Stegostoma tigrinum: one gene and its partners. The protein of the gene in region 1 interacts with the protein of each later gene in a biochemical or structural test. Links are inferred from orthologs where the notes say so. Each region holds a gene or a part of one and is shown in the gene's direction. Other genes may lie near its edges.

Region 1 (7,850 bases):
TTAAGACTGTAATGTTAAGAAATATTGCCATTTTTTTCATACTTTTGGTGATCGCTTTAGTTAGTTACACCTGGTCAGTGATTCTGCAAGTCTTGGAAATGCTATTCCTTTTTAAACCACTTAAGGGTCTGCCTCGCGCTCTCTGCTCTAGATCTGTCTTGTGATTGCTTGCCATCTTCCCTTTCAGATTTCTCTGGCTGTAGTTTTCCATTTATGCTTTTAAATTTTGCTGTTACTGTGACAACCAGGAAGCAGCTGAAGCAATTGGTCTCCAACCCACCCTCTCAAAAGTTGTCATATGTAATGTACTGTTCGAAGTCTTATGTGAGATAAGGTGGTGTTTGTCAGCTGAAGGGAAATGCTGAAATAGGTGTTTGTTGCCTATCAACCCCCCCCCCCCCGAACCATCTCTTCCACTCCATGACCCCCAACACAAATTGAAATTGCTCCCTTCTTTGTGCATACTGGATTTGTCTGACCATGAAATTTGAGAAAACATTCTCTGCCACTTTACTCTGATTTTTATTTGTCTCAGTTGGAGTTTCATCATCATTATGGAGTTGAGTATGGCCAGATCTCCTTTTCCAAGCTACCATCCTACCCCCACCCCCCACTCTCTCCAAATAAGAAAAATCCTGTATTCTGTCTGAGAATTTCGTGGAAGTGAAACTCCACTTTTTTTTTTAAAATTTCCTATTTAGTTGACCAGTTCTTGGAGACTGCAGAAAATGCACATATTTGTAACCTGACCTAGAATTGTGTGGTTTGATGGTACAGAACTTGAGTATTGTTGATAAAAGGCACATTTTGTCGAAGCCCTTTGACTTGCACTCATCAGGACCATGTGCAAGAAATGGTAATGTACAGGATAGACAAATCTATTGTACTGCACAAGAGGAGACTGGCAAACAGTGAGCACAGTGGACTACCTGCATGGCTGATAACTTTCTACATCACTAATTGGTTGCTCCTTTTCTAAAGTTGTTACCTTTCAGATATCCTGCTGAGGACGGATGCTGCCAAGTTCCTACAATTTAAAAAAAATATTCAAACTAAAGTAACTATTGAATGTTTCCCATGTTTCATGACTGCAAGAACCAGTGTGCCAGATTTTACTCTTGGTTGGTCAAACTGCCCTGTGACCTTCATCTTAGAGTAAAATAATGTGTTGGTGATTTTGCTGAATGGTATCTTACGGTCCTTGAAATAATTCTCTTGTACTGGAAATCACAAAGGAAGAATGATTGAACTCTTCAATAATTATCTCTCTTTCAAAGCTACTGACCTGAAACACTGTATCGACTCTGACTCCAGCATTGGCAGTTATTGCTATCTCCAACCTGAAACATTTCCTTATCTCTTCCTCTGCAGGGTCCTGTCTGACCCAAATACGTTCCAGAATTTTCTGTTTTTATTAAAATAGCAGCCTATTTCAGTTGCAATCTTAATCTCGCTTTAATGATTTTAGGACAGTCATCTATAAGCAAATGTATAGACAAGTTTTTTTTTATATTTTGAATTCATTGGCTTAATATTATGACTAATATTGCATGGCTATTCACTCATTTATCTTGTGTATTTCAACTTCAGTTCTTTTAACCTTTTCAACTATTTGCTGAGACGTTTTAAAAGCTCATTGGAAAATTAATTTGACTTCATATCATAAAGCCATGTTTTGCGACTGATGTACCATTGTAAGCAGTTTATAACTTCACTGGTCTCTGTCCTCTTGGTAACAATTTAGACATGTCTCCAGTTTTCAAAGTCCAGATTAAACCAGTACGCCACTGTTGCTATTCAGATTTATTTTTTGCTCTGCCCAGAATGTAACTTATTTTTAAAATGACAAATTGTGGGAATTAAAATAATGGAGGTTGTAATTATTTACATTGCAAGGTGCTCTTTTTCTGTTCAGTGGGCTTGTGTTTCAGTAGCAGAGTTTTATTAGCTATGAATCTAGGCTCTGCATGAAAGTACTCATTCTCCACAAATATTAAAATGATCCCCAGTAAAGCCATGTTGGATTATATGAACACAGGGAATTATCTATTAATGCAGCTGAAATTGCAACCTGGAAGCTTGAGCCAAGCTCCAGTAGCTTTACTATGTTGAATATATCAAAAATTTTAATTTTGTCATGATAAAAGATAACTTGCTTGAAATATATGCTTCATTTTATTGCTGATAATAGACTGGTGATAGACTTTTTTTAACGTAAGCCTGGCTGAGGACTTTATAATTGGTTTTAACATTTTATATGTATCATTTTTCCATGGCCTTGGGTAAAAACATGTAGGTACATTGATAATCTGTTCTCTAAGACTGTCATGGGCTCTTAGATTGCTTAGTAATGGGTATAGTGGAATAATTTCATAGTGTTTGTCTGAATATTGATTTCTGTTATGTGAACTTCAGTTCCTTTGTGTTTTCTCAATTCTTACTTTGTGGCTGTTGTCCAAAAATGTCCAATAGTGCCAGTTTGTTGTTTTCGTGTTTAACAAGTGGAAACTTTGTGTAATCTAGTTTTCACTTAACAGAGAGGAGAAAACACGGAAATCTAGCTTAAACTGAAATCCTGGCACTTCCTTGCTGACAGTACTGTGGTTGCACCTGTACACATGGACTGCAGTAACAAGCCAGCACCACCATCTTGAGGGCATCTTTAGAGATGAGCAGCAAAATTCTGGTTCATCTTGAGATGCTGACCCCATCAATGAGTACAAAAGGAATTACAAAAATAGCAGTCTGCTAAATGTGATTTGTCTCCAGCACTTTCATGGAATTGAAAAGTTGCTGGGAAGGAGTACGTGGTTCAAAAGGTTAAAATGCAATCCAGACTGATTCATAGGGAGTGGGTGATCCTTGGAATTCTCTGTCCCAAAGGGTTTGGTGACTTAGTTATTGAGAGAATCCAAGAGGGATCTGTTATTAAATATATAAAGAGAGATGGTGTTATTGCACAAAAGATCTCTTAACAAGAAGATCAACCATGATCACACTGAATGGCAGAGCATGAGTCCTGCTCCTATTTCATTCATTTATGAGAAAAGTAGCTTGAAAAGTGCAAAAATACACATGACCATGTTTGGACTATGCAGTGAAAATTTTTTAAAAATTCATGATTGGTCCAGAGCTGTTGGAAGCACCACATGATGGCAAGTTGTATTATTGATGTTTATTTAATACTCATTTATTTTAAAGTCTGAAATCCTGGCACATCCTCCCTAAAAGCACCATGTTTGTAACTAAGATAACAAAGTGTGAAGCTGGATGGACACAGCAGGCCAAGCAGCATCTCAGGAGCACAAAAGCTGACGTTTCGGGCCTAGACCCAGACCACAGATTGCTCAGTAACGAAAAGTGGTATAAATCAGAGCAAAGCAACATGTATATAGTTTCATAAAGCATATATTCTAAAACCGTTTTCTTCAGAAAGCCAAGTTCATGATGGTGTCTCTTTTAGATTCAACCTGTAGCTGGTACCATAAAATGGCAGCCTGAAGACAGGGCTCCAAACTAGACACATGCTGTTTTCAGTCCAGCCTTCACAGTTCATCACAACACACACTTTACTGCAGGAAGCAATCTAGATTACCCAAAACCCTTCCATGTAAACAACTTCAGCAACATATCCTTGCTGAACACTTAACACTTGATTTAATTAGATTCAGAACATAGTGTAATGTATTTGTGTCACTTGCAGTCAGGTGAATGTAGGAAGGCAAAGATGTCAGAATAGTGTTATCTTCCAAAAGAAAACATTTGTGCCCCCTTTGCCTTACCAGAGGCCTACATAGCATTTCTAATGATGTACTGAATGCTGAATTTATGTCCTAAAAATGAAATTGTCTAATCTTTCAAATTGTTAAATATGAAGAATGCAGCAAAACAAATTTAGTCAGAAGAATAAGATTCTGTGAATAAGAGGACCATAGTACCAAAAAAAATCTTACACATGTCAAGGAAGCTGTATGTCAAGTTTGAATGTTGTTCTCTCTGTGGTAGTTTGTTCACGTATGTATTGACTGCCCGGATTAAGTTCACAGTTGATTTGTACAGAGGCTGCAGTCTTTACACATGATGGGAGCACACTTTTCTGTGAATGACCTCCAAGACCAACAAAGGGGAAAAAGCACCTCAAGCAGGCACCAAATAAGTCTGTTGACCAACAACAAATATTATGCATTTAAGGTTAGAGTTTCTGTAGTTGTCATGTGTTTTTGTGTTTTTTTTTGGACATGTGGATCTCAGTGTTGCGACAAGTTGTGATAGATAAATCTCTGCTATAAATTCCTAATGATTTTTGTGTAATTTTGTGCTTTTTGAGATGATGGATGCAAAGAAGGTTTGATGCCACAAATGCTGTCTGTCCAGTTAGCCATACTGCAGTTGCTTGTATGCATATGGCAAATGATGGAATAAAGTAAGTTAAGCTATGGTGCCCAGTACTGATGAACATTTTCTTTCAATGTGCTTTTGGGGGTGTGCATTCTGTGGCTTTAGCCAGGGCACAGTGGTAAAACTGTCTTGTCAAGGTCAGGCTCTGTAAGGATGTAGCTGCAATGTCTGGTCTGACACTGAAATTTGAGAGTGCTGCACTGTTGGAAATTAGTGAAACGATTGAATGAAGTTCTAATTCCCCTCGTGACAGTCAATTCTAACATCAAAGAGGGGCTCGTTGGCCGATATTCATCCACCTGGCTGCATCTCTTTTTATAACAAAAAAATCCAGTCCTAATGACTTTTTTTAAGGCCTTTCACATTTCTTTCAAAATGTAGTATTTAAGTTGTTGTAATGTGTGTTTTGTAGTGAAGGATGTTGTAGAAACCCATGTTGATATCCAGTGCCCATGGAACTGCATCTGAGACTTCTGAAGAAATCGGGACAAGGGCTCTGGAGTGGAGCGAGGAAGGAGAAACTATTCAAATCAGGTTTTGCAAGGTGTGTCTTGATTGGTTTGCTTGCATCTCTGATGCCATTTGATATTTCTTTTGCAGGTCGCATTTACTTCTTCAATCATATAACTAATCGGAGTCAGTGGGAGCGACCAAAAGCTGGGGGGAATTACAATTCTGTTGAGCCTGACAAAGTTCGTTGTTCCCACCTGTTAGTGAAGCACAACCAGTCACGCAGGCCTTCTTCGTGGAGACAGGAGGAGATCACACGCAGCAAGGAGGAGGCACTAGAGACATTAAATGGTAAGCTGATAACCAATGCACACCTCAGCAAGAGCACAAAAGCCTCTGTTTGTACTGTTAAGATGTCTTGATGGGTGCAAAAGAGGAGAGCATAAATGTGTTTGAAATAATTACAGAGGCTGGTGTCTTGTGACCAAGTCACCCTTTATTTACATGTGTGCAGTACAAGGGCTCTGAGTCAGTTCCGTGACTGAGGAGACCTTCTGAATCTCCCATTTATATCTGTCAGCCAGGGCTCCCTGATTGCCTCAGGTTAGCAGCCCTAGTCAAGGACCTCATAATCAATGACATTCACCTGGCCCAATTTGTGCTCAGCTTGATTTGGAACATTTTTGAGGTTTTATGACTATAGCAAATTTTTGGGGAAATGTCAGTTGAATGGTATGTCACAAACCCCTTCCCAAGCTGGTTGAGTGAGCCACCCTTAAGAATATATCAGTGTTACTCTGCAAGTAGGCACTTGGAAGGTGTGTGAAAACCTTTGGGGATGATTGATCTTCTAATCTCTTCATCCCCGCTGCCCTCAGTAAAATTCTTGGTATTTGCAAGATCCCCAGTATGTTGATACTAATGAGGCATGGAGCTTGCTGCATATGATTCTAGGTGATGCATTGGATTCATCAATGGTGAGATTTGCATTGCCCTGTTGATTTGAGTGCTGTATGCTTTTCCTTTGTTTTAATATTTCAGAGGAGATTTTTTGCCTTGGAATTGATTCAACACTACAGACATAATAGACTGTCTAGTTTCTGTCCTAAAATGTACCAATATTCTTAGATTAAGGACATGACAGGCAAAAGTGTTTATTCCTGCCATACACAGGTGCTAGTAATTTTGGCATAGCATGAACCCTCTTGTAAACTATTGGGAAAGAAAATGTTTTTGTGTGTCATACATCTAAAGGCAAAGTAGAAATGCACAGGTTAATATCAGAATAGGTAAAGAAAATTTGGGCTCAGACATCTTATTCTTTTGTCAGGAACAGAAGTCTATCTTTAGTGATTATCTTCAGTTGTAAGTTATCTCAGGCAACCAGCTTGTAACTTATGTCCATTTCAAGCCCACCGACTCCCACAGCTACCTAGAATACACTTCCTCCCACCCACCCTCCTGCAAAAATTCCATCCCCTGTTCCCAACTCCTCCGCTTCCGCCGCAGCTGCTCCCACAATGAGGCATTCCACTCCCGCACATCCCAGATGTCCAAGTTCTTCAAGGACCGCAACTGTCCCCCCACAGTGATCGAGAACGCCCTTGACCGCGTCTCCCGTATTTCCTGCAACACATCCCTCACACCCCGCCCCTGCCACAACCGCCCAAAGAGGATCCCCCTCGTTCTCACACACCACCCCACCAACCTCCGGATACAACGCATCATCCTCCGACACTTCCGCCATCTACAATCCGACCCCACCATCCAAGACATTTTTCCATCCCCACCCCTGTCTGCTTTCTGGAGAGACCACTCTCTCCATGACTCCCTTGTTCGTTCCACACTGCCCTCCAACCCCACCACACCCAGCACCTTCCCCTGCAACCGCAGGAAATGCTACACTTGCCCCCACACCTCCTCCCTCACCCCTGTCCCAGTCCCCAAGATGACATTCCACATTAAGCAAAGGTTCACCTGCACATCTGCCAATGTGGTATACTGCATCCACTGTACCCGGTGTGGCTTCCTCTACATTGGGGAAACCAAGCGGAGGCATGGGGACCGCTTTGCAGAACACCTCCGCTCAGTTCGCAACAGACAACTGCACCTTCCAGTCGCAAACCATTTCCACTCCCCCTCCCATTCTTTAGATGACATGTCCATCATGGGCCTCCTGCAATGCCACAATGATGCCACCCGAAGGTTGCAGGAACAGCAACTCATATTCCACCTGGGAACCCTGCAGCCTAATGATATCAATGTGGACTTCACCAGTTTCAAAATCTCCCCTTCCCCCACCGCATCCCTAAACCAGCCCAGATCTTCCTCTCCACCCACTGCATCCCAAAACCAGTCCAACCTGTCTCTGCCTCCCTAACCTGTTCTTCCTCTCACCCATCCCTTCCTCCCACCCCAAGCCGTACCCCCATCTACCTACTAACCTCATCCCACCTCCTTGACCTGTCTGTCTTCCCTGGACTGACCTACCCCCTCCCTACCTCCTCACCTATACTCTCTCCACCTATCTTTTCTCTCCATCTTCGGTCCGCCTCCCCCTCTCTCCCTATTTATTCCAGAACCCTCACCCCATCCCCCTCTTTGATGAAGGGTCTAGGCCCGAAACGTCAGCTTTTGTGCTCCTGAGATGCTGCTTGGCCTGCTGTGTTCATCCAGCCTCACGTTTTATTATCTTCAGTTGTAATTTCTGTTCTCATTTGCTGCCTGACCTCCGTGTTTCCCAGAATTCTGTTCTACTTGCACAGACCGCTTGGGCGATTGCTTATTTTGAGCTAAACCTTCCCGAATGAGTTGATGAAGGTTGAATGGATCATGATTGATGGAAATATTTGGGTGAGATTGCACTGGCACAATATGAAGTGTTGTTAACCTCCCACATGCATAGTTGTTGATTTCATTAATGCTATGTGGAAGAACGGTAGTGTCAAGACTGGCCCTTGCAAATGATATGCCTTTTGTCATGGATACTAAGTTCATGGCAA
Region 2 (7,016 bases), on another chromosome or scaffold:
TTGTATGCTATGATCTACCTGTACTGCTCACAAAACAAGACTTAACGGCCTCAATACACATAGTCAAAGAAAGACATACATCTGACTAGGACAATACATCCATAACATCACAAGTCAAACAGAGACACGCCAGGGAATTCCTGAAGGCCTGGCATTCCAAATGCAACCCCATCAACAAACACATTGAACTGGATCCGATGTACAAATCACTGAAAAACTTGACCGGAAGTAACACCGACGAACCCAGCAAACTGAAGCATACAAATAATAACCAAGACAGAACACCAACGCTTCACCAGAGGTGCACGGATGATGTTACCCAGCAGCATATTGAAACATCAGCAATCAAACACACCAGCTCGGCGAGCAAGCCTACAACCTCATCCGTGGCCCGAGCTACAATATAGAACATAGAATCCCTAGTGTGGCAACAAGTCCACACCAACCCTCAGAGCATCCCACCTCGACCCAACCCCCTATAACCCACCTAATCTACACCTCCCTGAACACGATGGGCAATTTAGCATGGCCAATCCACCTACCCTGCACATCTTTGGACTGTGGGAGGAAACCCGAGCACCTTGAGGAAACCTACACAGACACGGGGAGAATGTGCAAACCCCACACAGATAGTCACCTAAGGCTGGAATTGAGCCCAGGTCCCTGGCGCTGTGAGGCAGCAGTGCTAACCACTGAGCCACCGTGCCGCCCAAACCTTCTCAAAAAACAATGAAGGCTTTTATGTGATCAGTTAAGTGTCACCACTAGATTGATTATCTGCCTCTCCAGCAGATGAGAAGAATGTCAGGTTTCGTCTCCGGCCTCCTTCTGGGCTGGGGAGAGAGACTCTATTTGCCTCAGTCTTGGTGGGGAGGGTGGAAACACAGGATGGTAACACAGGATGGTGGGTATACTCAGATCTGAAATCAAAGCACATAACTTCTTGCCATTTAAACCCCTAAAGCATAGCCCTTGAGAGATGCTGTCTAGTGCCAAGAAGCCATCAGGTTCTGATTGTCTGGCTCTTTCTGGTGGAGGTGAGATTTCAGTATGAAGGTTAGTAATTCACAAGCAGCTCGCTGGTCAGCTCTCAACTTGCTGATTGGAGCTATTATTTTTTCTTTCTCATTGTTGAATTTGGAGAGAGAGTCACTTGACCCTGAGAATGCCTGTCTCCACATTTAGTGCACGCATCTGTGTGTGAGCTAAGTGTCAGGCTAGCTCATTGGTAATGTTTAATCTTTGAGTCAGAAGACTTTCAGGTCACAGAGTTTCTTGGTGCATCAACCTTAAATCTTGCTGTAAAGAGAAACAGGTTACCATTATTTTCCATGTTTTACCCATCAGAACAAATGCAAGAATGCCAAAATTTGAATAATCATGACAATTTACACCTGATGAGACAGGGGTGTTAATTAATTAATCAGCACATTGACATTAGCCAAAAATGTTACCATGGGGAAAACAGTAGGGTAACTCGAGGTTCCCCAAGCAACAGGGACATTCGAAATAAGTTGTAAGGCTTGAATATTGTCCTTTTATCCTGATGAATGTAAGATGAAAAACTTTTAATACTATCTCTCACTTCAGCAATTCCTAATTTTTAAGGATAGTAGGAACTGCTGATGCTGGAGAATCTGAGATAACACGATGTGAAGCTGGATGAACGCAGCAAGCCAAGCAGCAGAGGAGCAGGAAAGTTTGACGTTTCGGGTTGAGACCCTTCAGAAGAAATGTCAAACTTTCCTGCTTCTCTGATGTTGCTTGGCCTGTTGTGTTCATCCAGCTTCACATCGAGTTCTCTCACTTTTTAGGGTTTTGCCCCAGTCTAGGAACATGAGTAAATCATTTACAATCACACTAAGAGATCACTGCACTTTTGAAATTGCCATTTTTTAACTATTAAATTAAACAGGCCCATCCCAAGTTCTTGTTAGATTTATAATGATCACACTCCATTAATTTAAAGTTAAACTGAAAGATTCTACCCATTCAAAGATGTGCAGGTTAGGTGGATTGGCCACGCTAATTTGCCCATAGTGTCTGGGGGTGTGCAGGTTAGGTGGTTCAGCCATACGAAATAGGGTTTATAGAGACAGGGAAGGGGTGGGGGGGTGGTGAGATGGGTGGGAGGGTCAGTGCAGACCTGATGGGTTAAATGGCCTGCTTATGCACTGTCAGGATTCTATGATTTTATCAGTTTCAATCCTGACCCAGGCCCTTAACTGCTACATGTGGAGCTTCCTATGTACAAATTGGCTGTCACATCTCTTCTACTGGAACAGCTCTTCAAAAATTCACCCTAGCCTGTATGTTCCTTTGGGGCATCCTAAAATCATGAAAGTTGATCAAGTTTTTCTTTTGACTTGTTTTGACTACTTTTAGCTCAAGTTGCCAATAAACTCTCTCTTCTAGTGTTGCAGATTTTGCTCTGAAAGCCTCATCACAGTTTGATCAGACAGCTAGAAAGTTTACACCCCTGTACCACATTAAACAAATGTCATTCCTGAGTTCTCTGATAGTTTAAAATATTAAGAGTGTGATTAAACCAAAGCTGATTTATCAAAATCAATTTGCTGAAGACTGGTGGTCAAATGGCCAATCCAGTCAGATTAGTATTCAAAAGAAAAATATAAAGAACAGAAAATATAATCAGAAATCAAAAACACAACAGAGGCTCCTGAAGGTAGATGGAGTTTGACAGAGAGCAGGGAAATGAAAACATAGTAAGCACTACCAATTTCATAAGACCATAAAGACATAGGAGTGGAAGTAAGGCCATTCGGCCCATCAAGCCCACTCCACCATTTAAATCATGGCTGATGGGCATTTCAACTCCACTTCCCTGCACTGTCCCCATAGCCCTTTCAACCTTCAGGTGATTGCCTGATGTAGTGGTAATAATCAGTGAAGTATCAATCCAAAGATTGAGGTTAATGTTCTAAAGTCACAGGCTCAATTTCCACCACAGCAGCTTGCAAAATTAATTATTTAACTAAATTTAACTATTAATACCTACAATTGAATGATTGTCAAATAATGGCAACAACTGTAACAACCATCAAATGTTATTAAAAAACAAAGCCCACCTGATTCTTTCAGGAAAGAAATCTGCTACTACTACCACCACCTTGTGCAAGTTACTCCAAACCTATGGAAATGTGATTTATTATGAACCATCCTCTGAAATGGCTCCCTCATTTCAAAGGCAACAAACACCCACGTACATAATCCCATCAACAAATTTTAAACATAACCTGCAGCATGAGTCACCAGCAGAAGCAGCAAACAGGGCCTGACATCATTGTAACATTACTTTTTTCCCCCCCAACTAACCAGGGCTGATTCAAACCTGCAGTCATTACTTAGGTTCTGAGGAATGATCACACAACCTGAAACATTAACTCTGATTTTTCCTCCACAGATGCTACCAACCCACTGAGCTTTTCCAGCAATTTCTGTTTTTATTACTTAAGGTCTATTTTGCACAATTCCAGAACATTCTGAAGGGTCATTGGATTTGAAACATTAACAGTTCTTTCTCTCCATAAATGCTGCCAGTCCTCCTGAGTTTCTTTAGCAAACTCTGTTTTTGTATCTATACAATTCTAATTGGTATAAAACCCCAATATTGCCTATGTACCTGACAAGGCACCCTGTTTGTTGCATTCTGAGGAAGGATCACTAACCTGAACCATTAACTCAGATTTCCCCTTCACAAACACTGACAAACCTACTGAGTTTTTTCTAGCAATTCCTAGTTCTGACCCTATTTATTGGGCAGGGTTGTAATGGTTGTGCCCATCTATTGGTGGCTTAAAATGTCAGTCAAGAGTCTTGAAGATTTTGACAATTATTGGCTGTACAGGCATGCCAATCAAATGTTTCCCCCGCCCTCATGTATCTCTAATGGGTGTTAGAGCAGCCCGAATCTTGAGGTTTTCTCCTGTATAAAAGTGACTAATATTTCAAAAGCTTTAAAAATTGCAGAGTTACTCTAACTGGTCATCTGTGATGGGCAATGCTGCAAGTAATACCAAAGTGTAAGTACAAGCCTAAAGCAGTAAACGTGACTATGTATATCCTTTTCAAAATATCTGTACCATGTTAATGTGTGACAATTCAAAAGCTGAGCTTTTGTTGTAATATATAAAAAGTATTTTTTATTCCCTTTAAAGGTTTGTTTCAACATAAATTCTAATTGGCAAATATTTGCTTCTCAGATCTTATGGCTCATTCTTATGAAATGTCATGTTATACTTTTATATTAGACAATATATTTTAAAAAGACATTTTCAATATGTATCTACTGATCGTTCTTCAAATTTAGGAAATTATTACAAGCACAGATTTATTTCATCTGGATAATGGTGTTCGGTTAATCGTTAAACCATTATCCTCTTACAAGGGTCAGGTGGATTTTATAAATACATATTTTTCCCACGTGCCTCTAGTGTTCATGACAGTTTTGAGTCCTTAGGTTATGTGTCAGAGAAAACACAAACAGTGAAATGATTGAACGAACAAGAGCTAACAGCTGACCAGAAGTGTTGTGATTTGTGCAGTAGGTTTTAGCAACCCAGTAATTCTTGGACAGACAAAAGGCAAGAGCTAAAAGCAAAGAGTAGAAAAGATGGACTTGCATTTGTATGGAGTTGTCCATAACCGAGACTATCCTGATATGCTTTAAAACCAATGAAGCGCTTCTGAAGTGCAACCTCTGTTGCAACATAGGAACTATGGCAATCAATGTGGAGTCATAGAGAGGTACGGCATGGAAACAGACCCTTCGGTCAAACTCATCCGTGCCAACCAGATATCCTAAATTAATCTACTCCCATTTGCCAGCATTGTGCCCGTATCCTTCTAACGCCTTCTATTCATGCACCATCCAGATGTTGTTTAAGTGTTCTAATTGTACCAGTCTTCACCACCTCCTTTGGCAGCTTATTCCATTCACGTACCACTCTCAACATGAAAAGTTTGCCCCTTATGTCCCTTTTAAATCTTTCGCCTCTCACGTTAAACCAATGCCGTCTAGTTTTGGACCTCCCTACCCTGGGGAAAAGACCTTGATTATTCACTCTACCTATGCCTCTCATGACTGTATAAGCCTCGATAAGGTCACCCTCTCAGCCTGAGACGCTCCAGGGAAAATAGCCCCTTCTTATTCAGCTTATCCATATAGGTCAAACCCTCCAACCCTGGGCACAGCAAGACCCCACAAACAACTATATTGTAATGACCAGATGGTGGAGATTGTTAATGACATTGATTGAAGGGAGGAAATTGTGTGGGGCACCCTTACCCTTGAATACAGTGGCAGAATGTTTTATTGCAGCTTGAGAAAATGTTGAGTAAAACTGTGTGAAAATGTTGCTCCTTAGGTCCCTTTTAAATCTTTCCCCTCTCACCTTAAACCTATGCCCTCTAGTTTTGGACTCCCCTACACTAGGAAAAAGACCTTGACTAATTGCCCTATCCATGCTCCTCATGATTATGTAAACTTCCACAAGGTCACCCCTCAGCTTCCAATGGTCCAGAGAAAACAACCCCAACATATACACCCTCTTCCTATCCTTCAAACCCATCAAGCTCAACTGCTCATTCTTAGTCGGAAACATTGCTTTATGGAGGCAAATTTACCCAGCCTGAGGTCAGAAGCAGCAACATTGAGCAAGAAGGACTAAGTGAGCTTGATAATAGAGATGATGTATTTTGTTTTTCTTGAAGAAACTTCTGTATTTAGTAGAATCAAGGTGAGGTTTGATTTTGAATGACACTCTGAACATTCACTTCTTGCCTTTGAAACAAAGCATCATATCAATTCAGAGATAATGGGAACTGCAGATGCTGGAGAATCCAAGATAACAAAGTGTGGAGCTGGATGAACACAGCAGGCCAAGATGCTGCCTGGCCTGCTGTGTTCATCCAGCTCCACACCTTGTTATCATATCAATTCAGTTGTGGTCTTGTCTCATTAAAATGTTTCTCTCTACCTTCTGAAATTGGTGAAATGCACATCAGAGAGAGGCGGTGGTAATGTCACTGGACCAGTAACCCAATGTAATCTTATTTGTTTGAAAAGAAACTGAAATGAAAGATAGTCTCAGTGATAGTGACCATTAAACTGCCATAAGTTGTCACAAATACCTAACTAGAACGAAGCCTGCCATCCTAACCTGGTCTGGTTCATGTATGACTCCAAAACACACAGTAATCTTAACAGCCCTCAAAAGGCAATTACTTGTGGGCAACCAACACTGGCATTGCCAATATTGCACAGATTCCATCAAAATAAGGAAAAAAAATAATTCTGGTCACTAGGACTGAGTGTGTGCACAATTTTTGGAAAAGAAAATATCATCATATTGCGGCTGTACAGGGCATTTGTTGGGCCACTTTTGGAATATTGTGTTCTTTTCCGGCCTCCCTGCTACAAGAAGGATGTTGTGAAACTTGAAAGTGTGCAGAAAAGATTTACAAGGGTGTTGCCAGGGTTGGAGGGTTTGAACAATAGGGAGACGCTGAATAAACTGGGGCTGTTTTCTCTGGACCATTGGAAGCTGAGGGGGTGACCTTTAGAAAATTTACATAAACAGGAGGAGCATGGTTAGGGTGAATAGTCAAGGTCTTTTGCCTAGAGTAGGGGAGTCCAAACTTAGAAGACGTAGGTTTAAGGTGAGACGGGAAAGATTTAAAAGGGACCTAAAGGGTAATCTTTTCATGCAGAGATTGGTGCTTGTATGGAATGAACTACCTGCGGAAGTGGTTGAAGTTGGCACAATTCCAACATTTAAAAGGCGTCTGGGTGGGTATAAGAATAAGAAGGGTTTAAAGAGATATGGGCCAAATGCTGGCAAATGGGATTAGATTAATTTAGGATATCTTGTCGGCATGGATGAGTTGGACTGAAGGGTCTGTTTCCATGCTGTATATCTCTGAGACTCTATGGCTAATACTTGTTTCATTCAAATCTAATTTAGTTTGTAATTGGCAGTCAGTTGAAATCAACA
Region 3 (7,886 bases), on another chromosome or scaffold:
CACATGATCTTTTAAAGGGACCACGTAATTCTTTCCCCCCTTGCATTTCAAGAATGCCAAATTCTAACTTCCTGTCTCCCAATTCACAGGTACTCTACCCATCTTCGCAACGGACATGAAAGTTGAAAATCAAGTAGGGATGTGATTCCCCCTCAATCAAGGCCAGTTTGCCATTTGGCTCACTGATTGCTCGCTTCAGCAGCCTGTCTACTTTCATTGACTGGTGTACAGGGACAAACTGATCCCTTTGTACATCCACACTTCCCAATATATCAACTTTTAAATCATATGCCTCCATTGCATTTTACACTCCAAAATGTAATGCTTCACGTTTACACATGTACTGTATCTGCCATGTGTTTGTCCACTTGCTCCACTTATCTAAATCATCTTTAAGCCTCCTTGCTTCCTCCTCACAGCTCACAATCCCACCCAGCTTTGAGTTATTGGAAATGTTGCTTTTGGCTTCTTCATGCGGGTTATTTATTTATTTTGCGAATAGCTGGTTCCAAACATTGATCCTTTGAGGTGTCCCACAGGTTGCTGCCTGTCACTTGGAAAAAGCCCTGTTTATTTCTCCTCATTGTCTCCTGACTGATTTGATTTGATTTGATTTATTGTTGTTGCATATGCCTAAGTACAGTGAAAAGTTGTGGTTTGCGAGCAGCACAGGCAGATCATAGCAAATAAGAACGTACAGATCATGGGATGCTTAGACAGAGCAAGGCAGACAGGTTACAACTGCACAGGGGGTGCACAAAGCCAGATCAACATTAGATTGAAATTACAGAAGTCTGACGTTGAATCTTCTTCAGATGAGGTAGCTGATGATTGCTGACACACACCATACGGGTTAATGTATAGTCTTTCTAACAGCATTACTAAAGGGATAAAAAAGAAATTATATAAATAATTGAGAGGTCTGTTCATGAATCTGATAACAGCAGGGAAGAAGCTGTTCTTGAATCTGTTGGTACGTGTTCCCAAACTTTTGTATCTTCTGCCCGCTGGAAGAAGGGGGAAGAGGTTATAACTGGGGTGGGGGAGGGGCCTTTGATGCTGCCAGTTGCTTTCCCGAGGCAGTGGTAAGTATAGATAGAGTCAATGGATGGAAGGTCAGTTTGTGTGATGGACTGGGCTGCGTTCACAACCTCTGTTTGTCACCTTGAGGCATTGTAGAGCACTAACCCTTTCAGAACAATAAACAACATCCACGACACTCTAATTCCAAAGGCGCAATTTCTTGAGCAGGTCTCCACCCCATGCAAACACAAATGTACCGTTAGATTCAATTCTGGGGATGATTCAGAGATGAAAAGTCATCAACCAAATGAAAATATGTGATGGGAAACTCTTTTTTACACAGAGGATGGTTCACGTGTGGAATGGTCTTCCTGAGGAAGTGGTGGATGGGGGTACAGTTACAGCATTTAAAGGACATTTGGATAAGCATACAAATTGGAAATGTTTAGAGGGATATGGGCCAGGACCAGGTAGGCGGGACTAGTTTAGTTTGGGATTATGTTTGGCATGGACTGGTTGGATCGAAGTGTCTGTTTCTGTGTTGTGTGACTCTATAACTATGACCCCAGTGTGCCGCTGGACTTACTGAATATTTCCAGCATTTTCTTTACATGGCGTTGTGCCAGCTTCCAGAGACTTCAAATGGTCCATGTCTTCACATGTGCTCTTTCCTGTGTTAAATTCTGCTTGGAGTTACACTGATCTTCACATTAAACATCCTGGAACTCATCCATAAGTTCCTTCATTGTATTTTTCCACCAATCTCTATAATCTCCAACAGCCCCATTCTTGTCCCAAGGTATGTAACAGAGCGTTCGGAATTAGGTTTCATTGTCACATGTACTCAAGCGGAAGGATGCAGAAGTACAGTGAAAAGTTTACAATGTTGCCATTCGCAGTGCCATCTTAGGTCCAAAATCTTTGGTAAAAAGTAGAAAAATAAAGAAATGTGAAAAGTTCAACATCGCACTTCTTCTCAGTATAGAGCGGTATATAAGAAATAAATTTACTGAACTATCTCCCTCTCTACATTTAAAAACCTTTCAAATTCGCCACCAAGATTCCCTCACCCTACCAAATCTCCCGAATTCTTGTTCAGGGATCCTATTTTGTTACAATTAGAGCGAATCTTGTGATGTTTCTTTGCATTGAAGGTGTTTTACCCGCAAACTGTTGTCCGCTTATATTTTTTAGAAAAAGGACTTTTGGCGTTCAGAATATATTTTGGAAATTTTTAAACAGCAAACTGACAGCATGCACTGTCCATGCAGACTTTGGCAAATGTTTATGGCACCAAATGGACGCTACAGCAGCCTGCTCTGAAACTTCAATGAATCTAGTGTTAACAGAACTTTGCATAAGAACAAATATTCTGCCTGTATTAACTGTAATGTTTTTGTTTGGAATAGTTCATTCATTGTGGTAGACCCAAAGCACTTAGTCAAAAGTCACACTTTAAGAAGGACATGAAGAAATTAGAAATGGGACTAGTTTAGTTTGGGATTATGAGATAACAAAGTGTGGAGCTGGATGAACACAGCAGGCCAAGCAGCATCTCAGGAGCACAAAAGCTGACGTTTCGGGCCTAGACCCTTCATCAGAAAAGGGGGATGGGGAGAGGATTCTGAAATAAATAGGGAGAGAGGGGGAGGCGGACTGAAGATGGATATCCCCTTAGGTTGGTCCGGAGAGAGGAGAGTAACTTCTTCAGCATGGACACTCTGGACCGAAGGATCTGCTTCCTTGCTCCGTGACTCTATGAGAGGATGCAGAAAAGATACATTGGAATGGTTTGGGGGATGTCTAATTTCAGCTGCGCGGATATTTTAAAAAATTCTTGTGGGGGTTGCTGGCAGACCCAGCATTTGTTGCCCATCTTTAATGGGTCTTGAACTAAGCGGCTTTCTGGGTCATTTCAGAGGCCACCTCACAGTCAACTGCACTGCACTGTACCTGAAGTCTCATGTAGATGACAGCACATAAGCAGATTTTCTTCTGTAAAGGATATTATTGAATGGCCTGGGTTTTGAAAAATACAATCAATTATTGTTTTGAACTGCCATTACTAAGCCGTTACTAATATTATTACTAATACTCATTCCGAGTCTTACAAATTTCACTTTAAATTCCACCAACTTCCATGGGTAGATCAGAGGGGTCAGATCTGTTGTTGTTGGGGGGGATGAATTGATGGGGATGTTCAAAAATCTGGACAGGTTGGGAGGAACTGATTTTATTGGTCAAAGGTTCAGGAAACAGAAACTGCTGATATAAAGTCTGTGGCAAGAGAACCCAAATGTAACAAGGAGAAAACGCTTCTTTGCAGGGCTCGTGGATCTGAGATGTACAGGCATGTGGAAAAGCTGATTCAGAAGGGAATCTAATCTGAAAAGAAAACATTTTGCGAAAGGGAAAAGTCAGGGCTCATATCAGTTGTGTAGCTGTTAATGGGAATTGGTACAGACACAATGGGATGGCATAGCAGTTCAGTGGTTAGCACTGCTACCTCACAGTACCATGGACCTGGGTTTGATTCTAGCCTCAGGCAATTGTGTGAAATTTGCACATTCTCCCCACATCGGTGTGGGTTTCCTCCCACAGTCCAAAGATGTGTAGGATTGGCCATGCTAAATTGCCCATAGCATCCAGGGATTTGCAGGTTAGGTGGATTAGCTGTGGGAAATGCAGGGCTGCAGGGATTGTGTAGGGGCTGGGTACGGGTGGGATGCTCTTTGGAGTTGTTGGGCTGAATGGCCTGTTTCCACACTGTAGGGGACTGTTTGGTTGGGTCAAATGTCCTCTTTTGAACTGCTCCTTCAAACACACCATTGGCATGCTTGCTTTCAGACCTATAACACTGGTGCTCTGCAACATATTCTAAAGGACTGGATTTATTGAGAGGGTGTAACAGGAGGAAACACAAACCGAGTCCCATCGCAATTTCAAAGGCAGACGCTTGGACCCAGCGCAGCTTTCAAGGGCCGTGGGCTTGATTGACAGTCAACTGGTCCAATCAGACAGCCCGACCTGAAACGACCAATGGGCCAGAGCGGGAGGCGGGCCAACAGCCTTCCCTCCCCCAGCCTTCAAACCCAGGCTGCGGTCTGTGATTGGCTGCTCCCGGAAACAGAGACGCCATTGGCTGATAATGTAACAGTGTCAGCGCGGCAGATTTAAAATCCCTTTGGAGGCGGAAGTGGCGGAGCTAGAGGAGCACAGGGAGGGCTAGCAGGCACTGATGGCGAGTTAGGGAAAGGCATGCTCGCTCTGCTGAATGTGATTGAAGGGAATGCTCAGAGAGTTTTTATATTCCAGTTAGCGGAGAATGGCAGGGAAAAGGTCTCTGTGTTAGTAGTTAGAGAGAGGGAGAGCAAATCCCTTCTGTGGGGAGATTGACAGAGCGAAAGAAAGACAGATCAAAGTTTCTTTTTTTCTCTGCTGGGGGTGACAGTAGAGAGATGAAGACTCGGAATTGGTGGTGAGACAGAGAGTTTAACTGAGCCCGGGAGAGAGGGTGATGACACGTGTGTGACTGGAAGTTAGGCAGGGAGTGAGACCAGATCCTGCACGCTGGGACCTTGTTTCGTAAGGAGAGAATGAGAAAAAAACAGAGGGTTTGAATTTCATAAAGCTGGAAAAAAGAGTAAGAGAAGAGACACGCAGATTGGAATCTGTACTGTTGTAATTGGGGTGAAGCTGAGAGACTGGGTCCTGTGTAGTGAGAGAGAGAGATAGTGAGAGAGACTTGTCTCTGTAGGGTGGCATTAGGAACAAAGAGAAAGCAACTTGATACTGTATTTGGGGGGAGGGGGAGAGAGAGAGGGAGGGGGGGAGAATTGAGATTATGTATTCCTGGAGGGAGATGACTGGATATTCAATACTGTCAGAATGAGAAAGGAAGACAGATGAGACCTATGTGTATGTATGAGGGACAGAGAGAGACTAAGATCCTGTATACAAGAAGAGAAAGGGAGGGAAAGACTAGACCCTGTATGCTGGGAAGAAAAACATGAAGAAAAACTCCACTAGGAGTGGGAGAGAGCTAGATTGCCTAGACCCTGTATGCTGGGAGTGCATGAGTGAGATAGAGACCAGGCCAGACTGTTTGTACAGAGTGTGAGGGAGACAACAGGATCGTATACAGAGACAGACAGACAGACACTGTTAACTGCTACTGGGAAAGAGAAAGGACCTTGTTTACTTGACTTCAGATGGTGAGTAGAGGAGAAGGAAATGATAGGCCTTGTGTTCTGGAGCTGACAGTTGGAAAGGTGGGGGGGGAGAGTTAGAAACCCTCTGCTCTGAATTGTCAGAAAACATAAATGAAGCTTTTCTCTTAACCCTTCTTAAAGGTGGAAAGAAACAAAAATCCATTTTTTTTTTTGGTTGTGGACAGGCAGAAACAACAGGCTTACCAAAATCTTCAGCTGCTGGATACAAATACTGCTATTTGTAAATGAAATTACCCAGTGCATATTGTAGGATTTACCACCTTGGGTTGACTTTGGTCAATCCTAGCTTTGGTGAAACAACACCATTTTTGTGACTAGTCAGAGCCAACAAGAAATCCCTGGACCTCTGTAGAGTGTTGAAACTTCAGAACTCCATTTCAAACATCCTGAAGGGGTAAGTGATCACACTGAGAATCCAATGTTTATGTAGCTTTGGTTTTAATGTGCTGTAAAATAAGATTTGCCCAATATTTAATGTTTTGTGTTCCCTTATCTGCTGGTGTAACTTTAAATTACAGTACTCCCATTGTCAGGAGTTCACACCACTTAAACTGTAATCTATCAACATGAGAGTGCAGCTTCGTAGTTCCTTGAAAGTAGAGTTGCGGGTTGACAGAATAGCGAAGAAGCCATCTCGTACGCTTGCCTTTATAGTCAGTGCATTGAGTAAAGGGGTTAGGAGGTCATGTTGCAGCTGGACAGAACATTGGTTAGACCACTTTTGGAATATTACATTCAATCTGGTCTCCCTGCTACTGGAAGGATGTTGTGAAACGTGAAAGGGTTCGGAAAAGATTTACAAGGATGTTGCCAGGGTCGGAGGGTTTGAGCTATAGGGAGAGGCTGAATAGACTGGGGCTATTTTCCTTGGAATGTTGGAGGCTGAGGGGTGACCTCATCATGGTTTATAAAATCATGAGGGCCAGAGATAGTGAATAGCCGAGGTCTCTTCCCCAGGGTGGCAGAGCCCAAAACTAGACTGTTTTGGGGAAAGATTTAACAGGGACCTGCAGAGTGTAGTTCTGCCAGAGGAAAGTGGTGGAGGCAGGTACAGTTCTAGCATTTGAAAAGCTTCTGGAGGGGTACATGAATAGGAAGGGTATAGAGGCATATGGGCCAAATGCTGGCAAATGGGAGGGGATTACTTTCTGTTGGTGTGGGCGCGTTGCACGGCAGGGTCTGTTTCCAGACTGTACAGCTCTATGGCTGAATCACCTGTGCCTGTGTACCGCCATATTGCATGGTTTTAGAAGTGGGCTGGTTGGTACAAACTGGCCCCAAACCCTAGGAGATTCCTTTGAGTTAAGCACATTGCCTAAAGAGCTCAAGCTTGTGGTTCAAACCTCACCTGGGATAAAGTGAGTTAGTCAGGGGCAAGCTGTATTTGTTGTCGTCCATGTACGAGGGGTGTGCATGCTTTTATTGCACAACTGGATGTCAACTTTTGTTTTAGGATGTTGGGGATTTTTATGTTGCATTTACTTCAGATTTATAAGAATTCTAAACAACTAGCCATCTTAGGCTCCCACTTAATTGCAACCAGCAGTGAATCGACTCCAAAACAATAATTGGCTGCTCTCCATGTAGTTACAGGATTAGGGAAACAAACTGGCTTTGCGGAGGGTGGGAGGGGAAGGCAGAGCAGAGTTTGCAACATTGAACTAGACACCAGCGGAGAGTTGCAGCTCTGATTTAATGGTGGGCTCTCAGTGTTCGAGTCTGATTCAGTATGACACAAGACGAGGCTGTTTGGCCTGTTGAGGAAATACTGTGAAGTAGTCCAGTCAATCCCACTTTTATTTCACCTCTGGAAAATGGGGTTTATGGGGTTATGTCAATCTCAGCCCATAGGTAAGTCCACAAAGGATCATCAATGTTGCAAAATTGGATAGAGTACGTGTGAATTGGGAGGCAGGAATTTGGTGTTTGTAAAATTCGAGGGTGGGGGGAGGCATTGCGTGGTCCCTTTAAAAGATCATGTGCTTTTTCTGTGCTTAGAGATGTAAAATGGATGCCTGTGAGCAGAACCCTGGAAGTTTGCAAGTGCACAGAAAGCACCCGAAGTGAAATGTTTGCATCAAAAGCCCATACAGTGAGCAGGCCCAGCAGTAGTTTTACCAAGACAATGGGCGTTTGCCTTTAGCTAATCAATTTGAACCAGGCGATTAGATACCAAAAACTTATCAAATTTAAAGTCTGAGGTAACAATGTGTACAGCTGGATGAACACAGCAGGCCAAGAGGCATCGGGGAGCAGGAAAGATGATGTTTTGAGCCTAGACCCTCCTGCCTCTTTGTAGGTTACGTGGAACAGTCCCTCTCCCACAGCCACGCTGGCCCTAACCCCACCTCTTCCTCTGTTACATTGATGACTGTATCAGCGCCACCTCGTGCTCCCAAGAGGAGCTCGAACAGTTCATCCACTTCACCAACACGTTCCACCCCAGCTTCAAGTTCACCTGGGCCATCTCCAACACATCCGTCACCTTCCTGGACCTCTGTCTCCATCTCGGGCAACCACCTAGAAACCGATGTCCATTTCAAGCCCACCAACTCCCCCAACTACCTAGAATATGCCTCCTCCCACCCACCTTCCTGCAAAAACTCCATCCCCTATTTCCCAATTCCTTCG
Region 4 (8,007 bases), on another chromosome or scaffold:
TTCAGTTCCCAGTCCTGGTCACCATGCAGATCTATTTCTGCAATGGCACTTACATGATCATGATCTATGATAATGGGAACTGCAGATGCTGGAGAATCCAAGATAATAAAATGTGAGGCTGGATGAACACAGCAGGCCCAGCAGCATCTCAGGAGCACAAAAGCTGATGTTTCGGGCCTAGACCCTTCATCAGAGAGGGGGATGGGGTGAGGGTTCTGGAATAAATAGGGAGAGAGGGGGAGGCGGACTGAAGATGGTGAGAAAAGAAGATAGGTGGAGAGGAGAGTATAGGTGGGGAGATAGGGAGGGGACAGGTCAAGGAGGTGGGATGAGGTTAGTAGGTAGGAGATGGAGGTGCGGCTTGGGGTGGGAGGAAGGGATGGGTGAGAGGAAGAACAGGTTAGGGAGGCAGAGACAGGTTGGACTGCTTTTGGGATGCAGTGGGTGGAGGGGAAGAGCTGGGCTGGTTGTGTGGTGCAGTGGGGGGAGGGGACGAACTGGGCTGGTTTTGGGATGCGGTGGGGGAAGGGGAGATTTTGAAGCTGGTGAAGTCCACATTGATACCATTGGGCTGCAGGGTTCCCAAGCGGAATATGAGCTGCTGTTCCTGCAACCTTCGGGTGGCATCATTGTGGCACTGCAGGAGGCCCATGATGGACATGTCATCTAAAGAATGGGAGGGGGAGTGGAAATGGTTTGCGACTGGGAGATGCACTTGTTTATTGCGAACCGAGCGGAGGTGTTCTGCAAAGCGGTCCCCAAGCCTCCGCTTGGTTTCCCCACTGTAGAAGAAGCCACACCGGGTACAGTGGAGAGCTTTGAACTAAACAGTAGAGGGAAAAGAGACCATGTGAGTGGAAGTGAAATTAATCAAGGGGAAACAATGGGGTAATAATCATCAAAGTATGGCAGAAAGGAAACATAGAAAATAGGAGAAAGAGTAGGCCATTTCACCTTTTGAGACTGCTCTGCCATTCAGTAAGGTCATGCCTGGTCGTTAAACTCAATACCTGTTCCCATTTTCTCCTCATACCATTTCATCCTTTTAAGCCCTGAGAATGATATTTGACTCCATCTTGAAAACAGTTAATGATTGCCCTCAACCACTTTCTGTAGCAGAGATTTCCAAAGGCTCACTATTCAGTGTGAAGAAATTTCTCCTCATCTCAGGACTAACTGGCCTACGCTGTATTCTTAAGAGTGACCTGGAACAGCACTTCACATTCCACCTGGAACCCTACAACACAATGGTCTCAATGTGGACCTTACTAGCTTCAAACTTTTCCCACCCCCAACCTCAACCCAAGACCAGCAACAACCCCCATCCCTGTCTCCTTGACCTGTCTGTCTTCTCTCACAACCTATCTGCTCCTCCTGCCTCAATGACCGACCCCTACCCTGATTTCCTACCTATACTCACCTTTACTAGTTTCCTCCCTGCCTCTGTGACCTGTCCGTCTTCTCTCCCACCTATTTGCTCCACTATCCACCTTCTATGACCACCCCACCTCTCTCTATTTATTTCAGAGCCACCTTCTGCTCCCCCATTTCTGAATAAGGGTACAGATGCGAAACGTCAGCTTTCCTGCTCCTCTGATGCTGCCTGGCCTGCTGTGTTCTTCCAGCTCCACTTGTTATCTCAGACTCCAGCATCGGCAGTTCCTACTATCCCTGGTTCTGGACTCCCTAGTCATCAGGAACATCCTTCCTGTGTATATTCTGTATCATCCTTTTGGAATATGATGGGGTTTCTATATCTACGTCATTCTTCTAAATGCTGGTTGTTCCCTTAAATTGGGATTCTTGTGAATTGCCCTGATGAATGCAAGATTAAAAGCTTAATTTTTTTTTCACAATACTCAAGTTCTGTACTACTGCAGAACAACTTATGAGCATTCTTTGTGGAAGTAATTAGCAAGGTCAATAAAAGGACACTAGTAGGTGGCATTTACTTTGAGTTTCAAAGGTATTTGATTCGGTGCTACATCAAAGATTACACACAAAGAGCACAAAGTATAATGAGTAACATATTAGCATGGATAAAGGCTTAGTTCGCTAACAGGAAGCATTAGTATGGATAAATGGGATCATTATTGAATTGGCAAGCTATTACAAATAAAGTGCCACAGGGAACAATAGTTAGTTCTCAACTATTTATAATCCATATCAATAACTTGGAAGAAGGGACCCAATGCATGCTAACTGAATTTGCTGATGATATCAGGCAAGTAAGTTGTCACAAGGACATATGGAACCTGCAGAGGGATATAGATAAGTGAGTAAGTACAAATTTGATCAATGAAGTATAATACAGGAATATGTAAATGTATTCACTTTGACAGGAAGAATAGAAAAGCAGCATATTATTTAAATGAAGGAAGATTGCAAAATTCCAGTTGTACAGAGGAATCTGGGTGTCTTGGTAATGTATCTTGTAGGTGTGGTAAATGATTAGGAAGTCAAACTGAATGTTTTCATTTACTTGAGAGGGAATGGAATACAAAAATAAGTTAGTGTTACTGGAGCTGTACTGATCCTTGGTGAGACCACATCTGGGGATTTACGTTCAGTTTTAGTTTTTTGATCCGAGAAAAATCATAACTGCATTTAAAACAGTTCAGCAAAGATCCATTCAACTCATTCCTGAGATGAAGGGTACATCTTATGAAGAAAGGTTGAACATGTTGAGCTTACACCCATTGACATTTCGTAGAATCAGAAGTGATCCAGTTGAAACATGTAAGATTCTGAGGGGGTCAGTCTTGATATTGTAAATAATGGATGTTTCCTCTTGGGTAAATACAAATATGGGACATCATTTAAAAATAAGCCTCTATTTTAAGATGGAGATGAGTTTGTTTTTTCTCAGAGTGTGTTGCTATTATGTGGATCTCTTTCCCCAGAAAGTAGTGTCATTAAATGTATTCAAAATTGTGTTAGATAGATTTTGATAGACAAGGAGTCACTGTTCTGGAGGGCAGTCACGAAAGTGGAGTTGAGACCACAACCAAATTGGTTATGGTCTTTATTGAGTGGCAGAGTAGGCTCAGCAATTCAAAAGACAAATGCTAGCCTAACCTCAAGAGGTGGCAGTGAACGGGATGGATTTGGTGGTTAGAGAACAGTTTTTGGCCAGTACTCATAAACTATAGCTCAAACCTTTCAATATTTATTTGAAGGAAATCACTACTGCTCCAGTCTAGATGTTGGATGAACAGCATGAAAAGTCTGAAAGCAGTCAAGAGGTGGTGATGAGGTATTTCAGATTCCATTTGGAAGCTGATGTGCTTTTAGATGATTTTGCTGACGATTAGTATGAAACAGGGTTACCAGAATTATGATATTGTCAAAAATGAACTAAATTGTGATTCAATTATGCAATGTTAATTAAAATAACCACAACTTGAGAGCAGTGTGGGTTATTTTGTCTTGACGTGATCAGATGGGGAAAAGATCTCCTAGATGTCAGCAAAATAATGAAGAGTTTCTATCAGATGGATAGCTAAACTGTTTCCATTCATGGTCCAGAGTAACAGGGAATAAATATGAAGTTGCCTTTAACGGAGCAGAGAAAGGGGCAATATCTTTAAACAGGAAGTAATTGAAGTATTGGATTGGCTTCTGTATGGAGTGAGTGATGCAGATAATAATAATGCTGTCAACTCTGGTTGTATTTATCGATTTATCACTTGACCCCCTTTCCTGACTTCACTTTGAACCTTGGACAACACAGTGTGGAGCTGGAGGAACACAGCAAGCCAGGCAGCATCAGAGGAGCAGGAAAGTTGACTTTCGGGTCAGGACCCTTCTTCAGAAGACCTGCTGTGTTGCTCCAGTTCCATACCGTGTTCTGACTCCAATGTCTGCAGTTCTTGCTATCTCCTTCACACTGAACTTTGTTTATTTATGCTACATACACACAGCCCTTACCATATATTGAAAAGGGAATTTTTTTTGTTACCCAACTGATTTAATGATTGATTCAGTAATAGAGCCTTGTCCCTCATGTCTAATATTTTTCACTGCTAAGAAATGACATGCTCAAAAAAGGGATAAAAACACAATTTCTTTTTAGTTTAACTTTGGGCTGCCTGGAGCAATGTTTTGGAGATTAATTTCTTGGTAGATTCCAGTACAATACTGAAGGATTGATGTCTAAAGACCTCTTCATTAGAGAGCAGATGGGGTAGAATGTTAAGAGGTAATTTATTGACACTATGTTTCGTGTCAAAGATGCTGCTTGGCCTGCTGTGTTCATCCAGCCCACACTTTGTTGTCTTGGATCCTCCAGCATCTGCAGTTCCCATTATCTCTATAGTCACAGATCGGCTTCTGTGTTGCTTCGCCGAACGTTCAGAAGAAAACTGAAAGATCTAAGTTAATATATCTCTAAAAGTTTATGCCCCAGGGTTTCAGTTGCACAATGTTAACATTTGTTCTGATTTAATGTTTGGTGAGAGATTATCCAGTCATAAACACAATTCACCGTCAGTGAGTCATTGTTTGGAAATAAAGACGATTTTTTTAATCTGCTTCTGCCAAGTTTGCAGAAAGGGTCAAAACAGAGATGAGAATACAAATGCACAGGGAAACCAATATGTGATTAACGTTGAAACAACAAGCAGTAAGTCTTGTCAGTGAAGTGTTGATTAGATTTAAAACATTTAATCAGATTTAATGCAATTATTCAATGAAGTTGCTCTAAAATTAACTTGTAAATCTTGAAAAAAACTAGTTTCATTTGATTGAAAACTGCATTTATTGCTAATGGAGGAAAAGCTTTACATACATGTTTAAGAATGCTGTTAATAAAGACCTGCATGAAATATGTTCAATACAACAAAAGAGAGAGAGGTTGAATAAGGTCAGGGGAAAGTTTGGCGCGAAAATGACGCGAGCGGCTAGACTGCGCGCGCAGCCGCAGGTCTGCGGATCATGTGACCGTGTTTTTGAAAACAGGAGAGCGCTCGTGGTTGGTGGAATTCGTCACGTGACTAACGGTCGCGGGAAACCTATCGTGTTGTGGACGGCGCGAGGGGCGGATAGCTCGGTTTCTATCAGGACCGGACCGGGACAGGCCGAGCGGACAGCCAGGTTTTCATCAGGACCGTACCAGGCCGGGCTGACAGCGGGGTTTCCGTCAGGACCGGGCCAGGCTGAGCAAGTAGCGGGGTCTCCGTCACGACCCGGACAGGCCGAGCGGGCAGCGGGGTCTCCGTCAGGACCGGGCCGGATAGTGACTTTGAGTCTTCTGGCAATGAGTTTCCGCCGAGTGTGCATGAGAGCTGGTACCAGCCCCACTACGGCCTCGGGATTCCCTGTACAAAAACTCAGTTTTGCAGGGAGCGACGAGGAGGATGGTGGAAACAGCACCGAGGACTCGGCCTTCCAGGAGTCGCCGGACCCCGACCGCAAGTACGGTGGGATCTCTGAGCTCGGCCAGTGCGCAGAGGAGCTGGAGCTGGGGAACCTGAGCTGGGAGGATGGTTTCGTGGGCAGCCCGTCTCCGCTCAAAAGCCGACGGGATTACCGTGACCGTCGGGACTTGGAGGAATCTTCCAGTTCTCCGATCCGGGAAAGCGGCGACCGGGAAGAGTGCAGTTCTCCAATCCGAGAGGGAGGGGACCAGGAGGAGTGCAGCTCCCCGATCCCGGACTGTCCCGATACACCGCCACATAAAACACTCAGAAAACTGCGGCTCTTCGACACGCCCCACACCCCCAAGGTAAGGATGCCGCACATGTCACACCACCATTAACTGCCAGGGTTTTAAAAAAACCTTTCAATGTTATACTTTTAACCAGGGTGCGATCTAGGTGCTAGTAAAGTAGGACATTCTAGGGTTTGAATTGTTTAACCCGGTGAGAGGGAGGTGGGGTCTATCCCTCAGACCCTTTGAACAGTTTTAGAATTAGCTACCAAGCGCTTAACGGATCTCCGCCCTTTCTAATATTTATGTCCAAATGTGTGTTTTTTCACTTGATTTTCTCGAATACAGTAGTAACTGTTTTGACTTTAGCAATGAGATTGATATTGTTCTGGGCCCTGAGTGGTACAACATCAGGTTTGGGCATCTTTTCTGACTGCACGTTTCTCAGCTGCAACCGGTGGTAACTGTAATGATCAGCACGGTAGCCAGGCTCTTTTTCGTGAGCAACGGGAACTTGGTATATTTAAAATTGTAATTCACTTTTTCTAATTAATCTCTTGATCTAAGTAATGATTATTTATAGTTAAAGAGCACTAGGATTTTGAGATCCAGGTTCATTGATGTAGAAGTGCCAGTGTTGGACTGGGGTGGACAAGGTCAGAAACCACCCAAAACCAGGTTAGAGTCCAACAGGTTTATTTCAAAGCATAAGCTTTTGGAGCTTCACTTCTCCTTCAGGTAATAGTGAGAGAGGTAGTATCAAACGCAGTATTTATAAGATCAAAGATTCACACCATTGAGGATCTACTAAACACACCTAAGATGCTGTTAAATCTTGAATCAGTTGATTGATCAATATTTATATGTGAATACCTAAAACAAGTCATGATTCTCAGAGAACCTAAGGTTTTTTCAGTACCGAAAAAGTGACATTTTAGGTCAGATAGTGCGTGTTGGTTGGTGAGACCTTGTTTAGAATCTGTGTTTTAGTTTGGAGTTAAGCTGGTTTTATTTCTGAAGTAGGAATGTGTGAAAAGTCAATATGACTGTCAATAAGTTGTATTTTCTTGAGCAAAATAGAATGTATCTGCAAATAGATGTGTGTGTCGGGATGAAGATGTGGAGATTAAAGATTTAACAGCATCTTAAGGTTGTTTAGTACCTCAATGTTGTGACCCTTTGATCTTTTACTTATAAATCCTGTATCTGATACTACCTCTCATTAACACCAGAAGAAGGACTGAGGCTCTGAAAGCTTGTGTTTTCAAATAAGCCAGTTGGGCTATTACCTGGTGCTGAGATTTCTGACCAAATTAACTGAGGTATGGCTTTCATATAATCTGTTCATCACTCCTATCGGACCAAGATCAACCTAACGTGCAGTATAGGTATTTCATAGTAGGAATAAGTGAATCTGGATGTCAGCAATGGTTATCTCGTATGGCGGCATTAAATGTTAAGGAGTGTTTCTAGTCTCTTATAGTAGCTGCAAATATTTAAGAACTGAAAACAGAAAATCAATAAAAACCGAAAGAACTGTAGATGCCGCAAACCAGGAATAAAAAGTTGCTGGAAAAAGCTCCGATAACAAGGCATAGAGCTGGATGAACACAGGCCAAGCAGCTTCAGAGGAGCAGGAAGGCTGACATTTCGGAAAATCAACATCTGAGGTTCTTTTAAATATTGGAAAAGCTTTTTGTTTTGGGACAATTTTGTTCCAGTGGTTTTGTGCTAGTATTAGAATTAATTTGCAGAATGACTTTAAAAGTGACATATATGAATTTTGACATAGAAACAAAGTTGCTGGAAAAGCTCAGTAGGTCTGGCAGCATCTGTGAAGGAAAAGAAAGTTAATAACTGTGGAGGAGTCCGATGACCCTTCCTCAGTTCTTTTAACTCTGTTTCCTCCTCCACAGGTGCTACCACATCTGCTGAGTTTTTCCAGCAGTAGGTAGTAAGATTTCTGAAGGAGGCTCTAGGCCCGAAACAACATCAGCCTTCCTGCTCTTCTGATGCTGCTTGGCCTGCTGTGTTCACCCAGCTCTACACCTTGTTATCTGAGATTTTCCAGCAACTTTGTTTTTGATCCTGGTTTGCGGCATCCACTGTTCTTTCAGTTTTTATTACGCATTTTGGCTGTGGGACCTGTTGGGTTTTTTGGATTGTTTCCCTGCTGTCATGTTGTTACTACCAAAGTTGAACTTTTAAAAATACATTTTCTATGTGGTGATTTATTGTTATGTAGAGTTGTATTTCCACTAATCCTGAAGTATCACATCTGATATTTGTTTCTGTCTCTCAAGATCAATGCATTTCTTTAAAGATGGCTAGATAGGTGAACTATCCATGATTTATTT

The links.
Region 2: the proteins of pin1 (region 1) and pkma form a complex in vitro, tested with the Homo sapiens proteins (2 studies listed by BioGRID, with this or other methods). The link is inferred for Stegostoma tigrinum from reciprocal best matches to the Homo sapiens genes PIN1 and PKM.
Region 3: the proteins of pin1 (region 1) and M-phase inducer phosphatase 1-B-like interact in a test that uses a peptide from one of them, tested with the Homo sapiens proteins (2 studies listed by BioGRID, with this or other methods). The link is inferred for Stegostoma tigrinum from reciprocal best matches to the Homo sapiens genes PIN1 and CDC25C.
Region 4: the proteins of pin1 (region 1) and wee1 form a complex in vitro, tested with the Homo sapiens proteins (2 studies listed by BioGRID, with this or other methods). The link is inferred for Stegostoma tigrinum from reciprocal best matches to the Homo sapiens genes PIN1 and WEE1.

What each region holds. Positions count from the first base shown.
Region 1 is NC_081388.1:20,180,517-20,188,366, reverse strand, and holds the start of pin1 (peptidyl-prolyl cis-trans isomerase NIMA-interacting 1), read left to right. Parts: upstream 1-4,835; 5' UTR 4,836-4,850; coding exon 4,851-5,199; intron 5,200-7,850. UniProt on the Homo sapiens protein: Peptidyl-prolyl cis/trans isomerase (PPIase) that binds to and isomerizes specific phosphorylated Ser/Thr-Pro (pSer/Thr-Pro) motifs.
Region 2 is NC_081389.1:14,446,858-14,453,873, reverse strand, and holds the start of pkma (pyruvate kinase PKM), read left to right. Parts: upstream 1-3,999; 5' UTR 4,000-4,014; coding exon 4,015-4,043; intron 4,044-7,016. UniProt on the Homo sapiens protein: Catalyzes the final rate-limiting step of glycolysis by mediating the transfer of a phosphoryl group from phosphoenolpyruvate (PEP) to ADP, generating ATP.
Region 3 is NC_081366.1:76,176,980-76,184,865, forward strand, and holds the start of M-phase inducer phosphatase 1-B-like, read left to right. Parts: upstream 1-4,874; 5' UTR 4,875-5,649; intron 5,650-7,886. UniProt on the Homo sapiens protein: Functions as a dosage-dependent inducer in mitotic control. Tyrosine protein phosphatase required for progression of the cell cycle. When phosphorylated, highly effective in activating G2 cells into prophase.
Region 4 is NC_081370.1:27,234,956-27,242,962, reverse strand, and holds the start of wee1 (wee1-like protein kinase), read left to right. Parts: upstream 1-4,994; 5' UTR 4,995-5,257; coding exon 5,258-5,725; intron 5,726-8,007. UniProt on the Homo sapiens protein: Acts as a negative regulator of entry into mitosis (G2 to M transition) by protecting the nucleus from cytoplasmically activated cyclin B1-complexed CDK1 before the onset of mitosis by mediating phosphorylation of CDK1 on 'Tyr-15'.